2 linked regions of the Drosophila melanogaster genome follow. Changing the gene in region 1 together with any one later gene gives a genetic interaction. Each region holds a gene or a part of one and is shown in the gene's direction. Other genes may lie near its edges. The genes, in order: mbl and SERCA.

What was found.
Region 2: of mbl (region 1) and SERCA, changing one suppresses a phenotype caused by changing the other (phenotypic suppression), as found in Drosophila melanogaster (one study listed by BioGRID).

What each region holds. Positions count from the first base shown.
Region 1 is NT_033778.4:17,263,673-17,268,618, forward strand, and holds the start of mbl (muscleblind), read left to right. Parts: upstream 1-1,845; 5' UTR 1,846-2,539; intron 2,540-4,946. UniProt on the Drosophila melanogaster protein: Required for terminal differentiation of photoreceptor cells. Vital for embryonic development.
Region 2 is NT_033778.4:23,929,842-23,937,907, reverse strand, and holds the start of SERCA (Sarco/endoplasmic reticulum Ca(2+)-ATPase), read left to right. Parts: upstream 1-2,023; 5' UTR 2,024-2,083; intron 2,084-2,227; exon of another isoform or gene 2,228-2,328; intron 2,329-3,823; exon of another isoform or gene 3,824-3,999; intron 4,000-4,167; exon of another isoform or gene 4,168-4,217; intron 4,218-4,463; exon of another isoform or gene 4,464-5,093; 5' UTR 5,094-5,123; coding exon 5,124-5,241; intron 5,242-5,316; coding exon 5,317-5,334; intron 5,335-5,419; coding exon 5,420-5,502; intron 5,503-5,578; coding exon 5,579-7,750; intron 7,751-7,809; coding exon 7,810-7,925; intron 7,926-7,989; coding exon 7,990-8,066. Other genes in the region: CG3735 (uncharacterized protein), read left to right, coding at 1-440. UniProt on the Drosophila melanogaster protein: This magnesium-dependent enzyme catalyzes the hydrolysis of ATP coupled with the transport of calcium.

The sequences.
Region 1 (4,946 bases):
ACCAAAAAACCTTTCACTTGCCCCCGAGCTCCATTAGCGATCTTTGTTTCTCTTTCGGGTCACTGACAAAAACTCCAATTTGAAATCGTTTAAAAATAGTGAACTCACACAAACACCGATGGACTTCTAATAATAAAAATCAAATCCTGGTGGGGGCGGGGTATATCCACCGTATAGTGGAGCTAAAATCATTGCGGGGGCGTTCCTCGATCTGGATCTGCATCTGGTTCGGGTCGGGTCGCTCTCTCTCTCTCTCTCTATCCCCTTTCATATGGATTTGGCTTTCACATGCCAGTTCTCGTTGGACTTCGTTTTTTTCGTTCTTGAAATCGCTTACATTCACTTTTTATTACAATTAACCTACACGGAGTGGTGCATGGTGTGCGTTAGTGGTATTCCCCCCTTTCCACGCCTACACCACATATTTTAATTGCCATGTGGGGGGTGTTAGGACCATATCTTTTGTTGCCAAAAAATCCAAAGAACGAAACAAATTTATGACATAGAAATGTCAAGAGTTGTGGCTGTGTGTGTGCGTTACATATTTCTATTTCTGGCCCGCTGGGCTGCATTCGGATATATAGCTATACCGTTATGGATGGGATGCATTTACGTAAATGATTTAGAACATATCGAACACATTTTGAAGGTGACTTTGACAGAGCGAACAAAGTTCCAATTCACTAAGTTCACTTATTTCTGTCCTTAGGCCCAAATGGAAACTGCAAGCAAACATTAATTATCATTGCGGTGTGTGAACAATTAGAGCAATGGTATTTTTCAAAAATGTACCTGGCCATTGCATGAATAAGTAGAACAAATGGTTTTTTGTTAAAAATAATTTAATAATTATATTCTTTAAGGTGCAGGTTTATACATATTCAAGATTTACAAAAAACCTTTTTTAATGGGGTCTTAGCAAAAATAATGAAAATTTCCAAAAATAAAAGATAATTGTTTTGTATATGTACGTACTTAAGCTGACGACTTAAAATGAACAGAAAATCATCAAAGCAAATTTATGACACTAAGCATAATTATAATATAATAATTATAATATACATAAGCCCTAAATAATTATAACGTGCCCAATCACTTGTGTCAAAATTGTAAAGATTTTTAGAAATTAAAATTCCTAAAATGTCTATTTATATGTCCATATTTATTATCTATTATTATCTATAGTTTTACACATTTAAATTTTTTTATCACCTAAAAAAAAAAGATTTATCGAAGGCTTGAGAGAGCCACAAAAAATACATTATCTAGTTTCTACCGTTAATTTAGTCACCGATTTGCAAAAATTAGTTGCCAGGCTATTTTATAGTCCGCAACCTACGCCAAAAGCTTAAGTCTGTCTACTTTTGGCCAGTTAACCTTTTAGTTGATTGTCAACTCGACTCGCCTTCATTGAACTCGGCAACCCCTAAAAACCCCCCTCGGTAATCAACAAAACCAAAAACACTCGAACTCTCTTCATTGGATAAAAGTACTCTTTAAGAGCACACAAGAGAGCTCGTCGGACTGTGGGACAAACAAACACTTTTTCGTACTGAATGGAGGGTTGACAGTTTGATTGCAACAGTTGACACCTATAAAATTTAAGCTGACGAAAAGAGTTAGTCAAGCATTTATACACTAATATACAAAATAATATATAAATTGGAATATCTTTTCCACTTCTTATATGCTACAACGTTTTGAAGTTACTAAAATGCCACAGTATGTGGTTTTTTGCCCCACAGTGCAAGCGTAAGCGAAAGAGAATGACAGGCAGAGAGTGAAAGAGAGCGAGAGAGTTTCGAGTCGAATTGGAATGGAATGACCAGAAAAATATTGCTGCTTTCAGTTTCGAAAAATTTTTCGATGGAAGCGGTTCTGTCAGCGGAAAAGTGAATTATACCAGAGCCTGCCTGAAAAACTCAAGAAAACCCCATCAAAGAAATAGCAGCTCTCAGCTAAATAATAACAAACACAATACTTTCTGCTCAGTCACCGCAAACAGAAATAATCACAATTCTGCAAAACGCCGTCATCAAAAAAGTTTTAGCCTACAACTCTAGAAACGCGGAAAAATTTGTCAAAAATACAACTAAAAAAACAACAACGCGAGTGCACGTGTATGTGAGGTGCTCAGTAAGAGTGTTTGCGTGTGTTCGTTTCTGTGTGTGACAGATAATAAAAGGAGAAAAAAAGAAGTTGTCGAAAGTCGTTCGTGAAAATTCAAGAAAAATAGTGCAAGCGCTGCAGGGAAATTGTCCGGAAAAATCGCAAAATCCATTGTTTTTAGCCGGCATCTTAAAAACCAACGATAACAACAGCTTCTGCAACAACGCGCGTGTTTAGTTCACACACACACCACGGAGCGTCGAGAAAAAAAGGTTAAAAATACATTTTCAATTCACCATCGGCGTAAAAGTAAAACAATAAACAAATACAAGAAAATAAAACAGCAGCCGCTTTTTCACCCAACAACAACAATTTCAACAACTTCAACTTCGCCAGCAGCAACAACAACAAGTCAGCTGGACAACCGAAGGTGTTTATACTTAAAAACAAAAAAAAAAGAGATCGTTGTGTTTTTTTCCTTTTGTTTTCTCTCTTTTTTCGCCTTCGTCTTAAGTTTATGTTTTTTTTCTATCCATCGGTTTGTCTCTTCCCTTTCTTGCCACATTTCGTGGTCTTGTTTGTTATTGCTGTCGAATTTTCGGTGATGCCAAGTGAAAAGTCGGAAATTCTGTTTCATGACAGGGAAAACTTAATATTGTAAGGAAAGTTGTTCTCAAGACTGGAGAAGAAGAAATAATGGGAGAAAATTAACATAAGTAAACGTAAAGGAAACTAATGTTTTTCAAAGTTAATAAGGTGTATGTAGTTTTAAAGTGTAGTATCCATCCAATAAAACTTCGGTATTTAAAGTTTAAAAAAAAAAGTTAATTTCAACATACATAAAGTCTCATTGGTAGTGTTTTATAATTACAGTGTTGCAAAAGAAGTCACTTACTTAGAGTCTATTTAGTGCTGAATAAGGTGCAGAAACATTGACGTATTCAATATTACAGAGATGCATATGCATATATATCGGAGGCTAATTTATATTGTTTGATTTAAATAATTTAACAACAAAATTCTATTTACCAAATTTGTTCAGGCCAAAAAATATAAAAAAGTACGGAGCAATATACACAAATATACATTTATTATTGAAAACAAACTACTTTACACGGCCAAAAATATAAATTCTGCATTAATAAGTGTATTATAATCATTAAAAAAAACTTGCTTAATCTGTTAAAATAATGCACATCTCGTTCACTTGGCTTGGTAAAGCTTAATGACCGAAAATCAAATTGAAATTGAGCCTAATGAACTGTGAAATAATAATTAAAATTCAACAAATTGCAAACCAAATTTGTCAGAGTGAAAATGGGAATGGTTATTCCACATTATTGGGCATTAAATACGTTAAATATATCCACATTATTTGCGAAAGCGCCCTAACAGCTTAACATGAATATATATCATCTGTGGAGTTAATTAACTTAAAAGCACGGTAAAAACTACAAATATTCGCGTTGTAATATAATGCAAATTTAGCCATTTTTATTCTAAAGCCGGACAAGGCCTAGACTATTAAACAAACAAAATGGAGAAAAAAAAAATACATCTAAGTCGAGCGATTTTTACTGTGCGTTTCAACACTGTTAGCCAGTTGTAAAGAAACACACGTGACAATAAAACAAAACGCCTGCAAACAGGCAATTACGGAATTAATGGCTAAATCAAATTGTTTTGAAAGCTTACGATATTTAATGGGCTTAGACACCCGAACAGAAAACAGACATGATTCTTAAATTTAATGTGATTATTTTGTTAAACGAAACTGATTCAATTACCGCATTTGTTCTGACACTGCAAATCGATTTCATTTTAGGGTCTTAGAGACGAATTAATGGGAAATACGATCCCGAAACGCACTGTACTCGCACATGCAAATACATAGATTTTATTTTAACGAAAAGTCACGTTTTTTATGTGGTTCTCCACCTAAAAACCCACACCCCTCGCTCTTGCCAAGTCGTAACCATTAAATTTATGTTTATTTCGGTCCTAGCTTCGGTTTCAGTTGCAAAAAGATTGTTATTATAATTTTTCCGATTTGTTTCGTTTTCCTCCAGTTCAGATATGCAAATTGAATTAGCTCTGCCCGCTGGCAACTGGAAAACAAAAAGCAAAAGTTTGACACATTTCGTTTTTATTTTTACTCTTCATTTTTACCCATCATCATCAACAAAAGTGTCAAAAATGTGTTGCTGCAGAAATATGAGTCAAAGAAATCGTTTGGAAAATGCCAAAAATGAATTATTATTTCTGTCCATTTGTTCAATACACTCTGACAAGTCATTCACTTTTTCTCCTCCGAACGTACTCAAAAAATCAAACTCGAACCATAACTACAAAACGCCACGAATGCCACAAGACGGTTTTATATTTTGTTGGTGAAGGGGATTGGTATGAAAACTTGAGGACTTTTGGCATGACTAATCGATTCGATTTTTCGCCAAAAACTCATGCCGCAGTACAAAAAGACGAGGCAAGAAAAAACGTCGCTGTGAGAAATATGTGTTTGACTTGTAGTAAGAGGGTTTTGTGCTTTAAGCTCTTCTCAATAGGTCGTAAATATCGATAGGAACACCCCCTTTCGGTTGTCGAAAGTGTGGAAATAGCGTTGTATATGTCCGTGTTTGTTTGCTCGGCTCGCGATTTCAGTTTTGATGCGAGATGACAGCACTCGAAAAGGTGTCAGAGTTCAGACGAAAGGTATAAAAAGGTCTAGCCTTAAATCGCTAGAAAGCTCAAAACAATACAATTTGCTTATGAGCAAATACTTGTTAATTAATGCTTTTAAGTATATATATTCACATCTTCACTAAATAGCTAAATAC
Region 2 (8,066 bases), 6.7 Mb from region 1:
GTATGCTATACGTGCCCAGCTACTTTGACTACGTACGGATACGCAACCATTTCAAGACCGAAATGGTCAGTTTTGTGCAGATAAATGAGTACACCAAGAAAGAAAAGATTTCCCGGGCGAGAGATATATTCTTCCACAGCGGGGCATCTGTTCTGTTGTACTCGGAAAGAGCGCACTTCTTCCGGCGCACGCGGATTAAGGGCATCCGGAACTTGATCATGTACCAGCCGCCCAACTTTCCGCACTTCTATTCCGAGATCATCAATCTGATGCTGAAGACAAATCAAAATCCGCGCGATGGATTTGGGGACGAAATGTCCGTCAGTATCCTGTACACAAAGTACGATCTGCTAAGCTTGAGTAACATTGTGGGCAGTGAGAATGCTGCGAAATTGACTTCTGGTCAAAAGGATTCCTACCTTTTCTCCACCAAAACGTAAATGCTTACACGAGAGCTGACTTTGAAATATGTACATATTTAGTTGTCAATTAGAATATACTAAATGTTAACGCAAGTAAATAGTAATGTATGTGATAACTTTCAGTTGTGGCTCTATTTTTGGACCTAAATACTTTCGTGACGTAGAGATTTTAGGAGGAACTGGCTAGGTGATTGATCTGATGTTAAGGGTGGCGATGTCTTCTCTTTGTTATTACGCAATTTGAAATTATGAAAAAATGAATAATTGGCAAATGGTTGTGTAATAAGAGGCAGCATAAGTAGTGTTTTGCCGATTGATGAAATGATTCAAAATGCATTTGAATTCAATATATTTTGCCTGTTTTTACTTTAATATCCCTTTTTTATAAAGGAAGATTGGCCAGAGCATTATGCAATAAAAGTTATCATTTATAAGGCAATTAAGTGTTAAAAAACATTATTTTGCAGTTTGTATTTGTTTTTAAATGATCACTTCGCTTGATTGCTTGAGATTGCTGGAATCTGGAACCATTACCATATACCGAGTTCCTAAATAGACAATATCCAGCGGTTGACAACCGCATCAAACCCAGATTTGCCAGTCCCAAAATAAATCAAAATTCCTGGCTGCATTGTCATTTATCAACATTTTTAAATATACACATAGGTAGCTTATAAAAGTTCTGGCCTAGACATATAGAGGTAAAATAGTAGCCAAATGCATATTTATGGGGGTCTCTGTGAAAAGTCGTAATAGCTGCTGCACAAGGCGGATGGCTGATGGCGGATATCATACGGCAGAAACGTGTGCGGAGAGCGCTCTTGCCAATATCTGAGAGTCCGAGTCCGTAGGGGCATTACAAGCCTATAAATAAAAATAGTCGACGGCTGCCAGTCTCTGCTGAAATTGGGGAAAAAGGCAGAAAAGCCAAACGAAGAACTAGGGGTTCGCAGGCCGACTGGTGGATGCTCTTTCAGCTGTTAATGGATCGAGATCAACTAGATTGAGGAAATGAGTATTTGGGCTGGGATTTGGGATCTGTTGTATTTGCCAAGGACAAGTAAAATATTCAAAGGGCAGCAGCTATGGATAACTATGATGGATTCTAGCTCGGCGAAAGTGGAATGCGTCAGTGCCAGTGCCATCATTCCCAACCATCCCCCCACCAAAGGACCCAAGTCTTGACCCACTTGAAGTGGCTGACACCGAAGGTAGAAACACCTTTGAGTGACAAACCCTTCCACACAACCCAGCATAATTTCCCCAGATTGGTTTAAAAATACCACTTTCTAAATATTAGACAAACACACGTGCATTTCTCGGAATACGTCTGCACTCACACTCCCAGGCACATCCACATCCACAACCACATCCACGTCCACAAGTGATCTCGCATCGCCACATTGCCATTGCTCTAGACTTTCGTGGCCGTGCGCTCCCGCGGATCCGAGATCGGGCGGCCATATGTACGTATGTATGTATGTGGATGGGGAGCTCGTGTGCCCGTGGTATTGTGGTATTCCCACCTATACCTAGCCACATATACGAATCTCTGGGGGACCACGGTGAATCTGCCTCGTCGAGGTACGAACGAGCTGCACGAGCAGATCTGAACCGCCACCATTCGAATTCGGATCGCATTGGATTGGATTGGATAGGTGGTAAGTGCTCAAAAGTTTGTGCGTGCTAAAAGTATTTTCCCGGGCCAAAATAGAGAGTGTATGTAGTTTTGGGAATTTTGCCAAAATATATGAATTTTGTAATTCAAATAGACACTCTCATCGCGCAGCGTTCTCCTTGCGTTCAGTTGCCGTTGATCGTTATAATAGCGCGATCTTTGTGTCTTGGTCTTCCGACTGAAATAAATTATTATATAATAACGGAATTTTTGCTAGGAATAATAATTGTAAGTTTTGTTGATTTTCTGCAACAACTGCAAAGCGAATACGCCAGTGAATTACTCCAAACTGCCAAAACCATTGGGTAAAGCAAATAAACCCCCCTAAAAACTATCGAAAATTCGTCCGCGCGCTTTCAAAAGAAAAGAAAACCTGGAAACCAAAAGTTATTGAAATGCCTACATATCTACATACGAACATGCTTCTTACACTCGAAAACCGTGCTTCAAACTCAAAGTGTTTGCCCCCAGTTTACTTTGCCACCCTGGAGCTCGTCCAGAGCTCGTAGTTCGATCTATCTACATACATGAAATATCCGTAAGGGCGACGATTCGGCGGTGACCTCGACCTCCGGATGGTATCGAAAATTTGAATGTCACCAATACGAGAGCACTCCACGAATAGATTCGATCCGACACAGATGTAAAGTTTTCCAAGTGCCCGAGATCTATGTATCTGTGATTGAAAATCTGGTTATGCAACCACAACCGCAACCGTGGCGAATATATTCGTACCCAAATTCGAAAGATCCATGTCTTGTACTGTACCTGTAGCCCTTGTAACAAGCATAGAACACACGATCTCTTGAACTCCTTAACTACCCGCATTCATAGCTTAATGGTGGTTACATCGGTTAGTGAATTTGACTGCCTTTCAGTTGCAAAAGATCCCTGAAACCAACAGACAGTTTTACAGAAACGTGTAGCTCTATAAGTACATTCAGCCCAGGATCATGGCCCAATCATTTGTACTTATTTTTGAACCCACCCACCCACTATTATACAACCCATCGGTGGACTTGTCAATCAGAAATTCGGATTCGGGGACGTGGGAAGCAGCATATCGCACAAGTGTCGACATCCATTAGCATGGAGATATCTCTGCTCGCAATATCATAAGCCGTTAAATCGTACATATAACCGCGCAGAATAGGAATCTTTCTCCCTACGATCGTCTCTCTGTATATGTACTCAAACTTATTTATGTGGTCCTAGTACATATCTTTATATCTACGAGTGTTCAGAATTGAGCTGTATTTTTCGGGTGCTAGGACTCTATTTTTAGCCCATCTCGGACAGAGGCGATTTTTTGCTCCATAATGCACACACACATGTGTATTTTAGGGGTATATATAGGCTATATGCATGAAGATGTTTTCGAAACACACGTCTCTGTGCTCAAAATATAAGTAGTATTCGAGCGCATTGATTGACAGTTTTTTGAAAACTAACGCCTTTTGTGGGCGGGCAACTGGTGGAAACCTCGTTATCAGAAGTTACGTATGTAATTCTGTGACGTAGCCAGCGTAATATTCAAGTATTATGCGAGTTGGCTGCCGTTCAAAATTCCCCGTATGGCCTGATTCTAGTGTCTGGTCGCGAAAAAGATTAAAATTAAAATTTAAAAATGTCGCTGCTGGCGAATACCTGGCACCCAGATCTATTTATTGCGGGCTCTTGATCTCGATCTCATTAATTTGAGCACAAAATGCGCGAAAAGAATAGTGTTGCTTGTTGTGTGGCCAAAATAGTGCGGATGTCTCTGTCGCTTGCCAAGTGAAAATATGACAATGTATAAATAAGTTTAAGCATTCGTGATAAGGATTTCAGTTCGATTTACACCACAGAAGGGAGTAAAAACATTTGGTTTTCGATCGCAATAACAACTTGATTTATAAGGTTAGAGGTATTTTCCAATAAAGAAACTTTCCAGCACAGCTGAATTCCTTCGAAACTTTGATTAGTTTTAAATTCCTATATCACCTCAGCTATCGGTATTACTGAACACGGAAACTCAACAGTTAGCCATCGCAGTTGAGATTCTCAGTTATCGATAACGCCGGCTATCGCAGTTTAGTAGCACAAATTGAACGCGTCAGTAGAAGCTGAGCTAAAAGGTGGGATAATTATCTAATAATTGCCAGGACTGAGAATTCTTAAAAGTTGGAGAAAGAGGCAGCTCTGCACAAATAACGTAACTCGGACGATATACGTTTTCAGTCAGCCCTGTCTTGTGCGAATAATGTCGTGTCATAGTGAGGCAGAACGGCGATAGGCAGTAAATCGCGGCTTGGTACTTAGTGCAATAGTTATCAGCACACATATTCAGAAAAAAGCGCCATGGGTTATATTATATAGAGAGTCAGTGGAAAAAAGTACTTAACACACGCAGTGCGTCGTTTAGCGAGGTTAACGTAGGAGCAGAGCACCCGTATTACGGACCAGATCCCCCAATCCCCCGCAGAAACTGAGAATAGAAAAACGAAAACTGCGTCTGTTGTGCGAAGTGACACGTGTGTGAATCTCATAAGCGGAGCGATTTGGCCAGGGTAACAGCCCATCATAGTAATGCAATATTCCAGCATATTCTCCGACCCGATCCGCACAATCCGATCCTAAGTTGGCGCGATAACTGCGCGACTTTAGTGGCCAGTCCGGGCCCGATCAGAAGTGCCTGAAATCGGGGAATTAGCATGTAGCACCTGTGTATGTGCGTATGTTGGAAAGTACCCGTGAGCCGAGTGCCGTGCACATGCACATGTACGACCACTTATTCAGAACCTAATGAGGTAGTTTTAACTGCAAACGTACATGCCAGTACAGATGTATGTGCATACATACGTGCATACACACTTGCTATTCCAGTCAGTCGTTGAATAGAGCCCAGAAAACGGCAAAATAGCTAAATAGCCCTGCCAGAGAATTAAAATGAGCCCCTTGCCTTGTGTCTACTTTCAAATCCCCACCTGAATCGCCCCGGAATCTGGACACAGGCCACTGAACGAAGAGGATAACGAATCAAGATGGAAGACGGTCACTCGAAAACCGTCGAACAGTCCCTCAACTTCTTCGGAACGGACCCCGAGCGCGGCTTAACCCTCGACCAGATCAAGGCTAACCAGAAGAAATACGGACCCAATGGTGAGAGTCGCGCGTAATTCCCCTCCACATTCCGAGACCGAATCGACTGACGTGTTTGTTTTCTTATCGTTACAGAGTTGCCGACTGAGGAAGGTGCGAACACAACCCGAGCAGATCCCCTGCCCCCCACCCCCACTTCACTGTATGCATACATTATAATAACGATTGTATTCCACAGGAAAGAGCATCTGGCAGCTGGTCTTGGAGCAGTTCGACGATCTGCTGGTGAAGATTCTGCTGTTGGCAGCCATCATCTCATTTGTAAGTGCAGCAGCACAAAGAAACCCACCCTCAAAAACTTAGTTACGACCACACTCTTCCCCTCTGCAATCCCCAGGTTCTCGCCCTGTTTGAGGAACACGAGGAAACGTTCACTGCATTTGTAGAGCCCCTAGTTATTTTACTTATCCTGATAGCCAACGCCGTGGTGGGAGTATGGCAGGAGCGTAACGCCGAGTCGGCCATTGAGGCCCTCAAGGAGTACGAGCCTGAGATGGGCAAGGTGGTGCGCCAGGACAAGTCCGGCATCCAGAAGGTGCGCGCGAAAGAGATCGTGCCCGGTGACCTGGTTGAGGTGTCTGTCGGTGACAAGATCCCTGCCGATATCCGTATCACCCACATCTACTCGACCACCCTTAGGATCGATCAGTCCATCCTCACCGGTGAGTCGGTCTCCGTCATCAAGCACACCGATGCCATCCCCGATCCCCGCGCCGTCAACCAGGACAAGAAGAACATCCTGTTCTCCGGCACCAACGTCGCAGCCGGCAAGGCCCGTGGCGTCGTCATCGGCACTGGCCTGAGCACCGCCATCGGCAAGATCCGTACTGAGATGTCCGAGACCGAGGAGATCAAGACCCCCCTGCAGCAGAAACTGGACGAGTTCGGTGAGCAGCTGTCCAAGGTCATTTCCGTCATTTGCGTTGCCGTGTGGGCCATCAACATCGGCCACTTCAACGACCCCGCTCACGGAGGCTCCTGGATCAAGGGTGCCATCTACTACTTCAAGATCGCCGTCGCTCTGGCTGTGGCTGCCATCCCCGAGGGTCTGCCCGCCGTCATCACCACCTGTCTGGCTCTGGGCACCCGCCGCATGGCCAAGAAGAATGCCATCGTCCGCTCCCTGCCCTCCGTGGAGACCCTGGGCTGCACATCTGTCATCTGCTCTGATAAGACCGGCACACTCACCACCAACCAAATGTCCGTTTCCCGCATGTTCATCTTCGACAAGGTTGAAGGCAACGACAGCAGCTTCCTCGAATTCGAGATGACCGGCTCCACCTACGAGCCCATCGGCGAGGTCTTCCTCAACGGTCAGCGCATCAAGGCTGCTGACTACGATACCCTGCAGGAACTGTCCACCATCTGCATCATGTGCAACGACTCCGCCATTGATTACAATGAGTTCAAGCAGGCCTTCGAGAAGGTCGGCGAAGCCACTGAGACCGCCCTGATTGTGCTGGCTGAGAAACTGAACAGCTTCAGCGTGAACAAGTCTGGCCTGGACCGCCGCTCGGCTGCCATCGCCTGCCGCGGTGAGATCGAAACCAAGTGGAAGAAGGAATTCACCCTGGAGTTCTCTCGCGATCGTAAATCCATGTCCTCGTACTGCACCCCCCTGAAGGCTTCCCGCCTGGGCACTGGCCCCAAGTTGTTCGTGAAGGGCGCCCCCGAGGGTGTTCTAGAGCGTTGCACACACGCCCGCGTTGGCACCACCAAGGTTCCTCTGACCTCGGCCCTGAAGGCCAAGATCCTCGCCCTGACCGGCCAGTACGGTACTGGACGCGACACCCTTCGCTGCCTGGCTCTGGCCGTTGCCGATAGCCCCATGAAGCCCGACGAGATGGATCTGGGCGACTCCACCAAGTTCTACCAGTATGAGGTTAACCTGACCTTCGTCGGTGTTGTGGGCATGTTGGATCCCCCCCGTAAGGAAGTTTTCGATTCCATTGTCCGCTGCCGTGCCGCCGGTATTCGTGTTATTGTGATCACCGGCGACAACAAGGCCACTGCCGAGGCTATCTGCCGCAGAATCGGTGTATTCGCCGAGGATGAGGACACCACTGGCAAGTCCTACTCGGGTCGTGAATTCGACGACCTTTCCCCCACCGAACAAAAGGCTGCCGTCGCCCGCTCCCGCCTCTTCTCCCGCGTGGAGCCCCAGCACAAGTCCAAGATTGTTGAGTTCCTGCAGAGCATGAACGAAATCTCCGCTATGACTGGTGATGGTGTGAACGACGCCCCCGCCCTGAAGAAGGCTGAGATCGGTATTGCCATGGGCTCTGGTACCGCCGTCGCCAAGTCTGCCGCCGAAATGGTGCTGGCTGACGACAACTTCTCCTCCATCGTGTCTGCCGTTGAAGAAGGTCGCGCTATCTACAACAACATGAAACAGTTCATCCGCTACCTCATCTCTTCGAACATTGGTGAGGTCGTCTCCATCTTCCTTACTGCTGCCCTTGGCCTGCCCGAGGCTCTGATTCCCGTCCAGCTGCTCTGGGTTAACTTGGTACGTCTTGATGGGGTATTTACTACTTAAAATGGTTAGTAATAGGTACTTGGTCACAGGTTACTGATGGTCTCCCAGCCACCGCTCTGGGCTTCAACCCCCCTGATCTGGATATCATGGAGAAGCCCCCCAGGAAGGCCGATGAGGGTCTCATTTCCGGATGGTTGTTCTTCCGGTGGGTTACTCAAAAAGCACACATCCTTTAATCGGTATTAACTTGGCCTCAATCGAACTTTTAGTTACATGGCTATTGGATTCTATGTCGGCGCTGCCACCGTCGGTGCCGCCGCCTGGTGGTTCGTGTTCTCTGATGAGG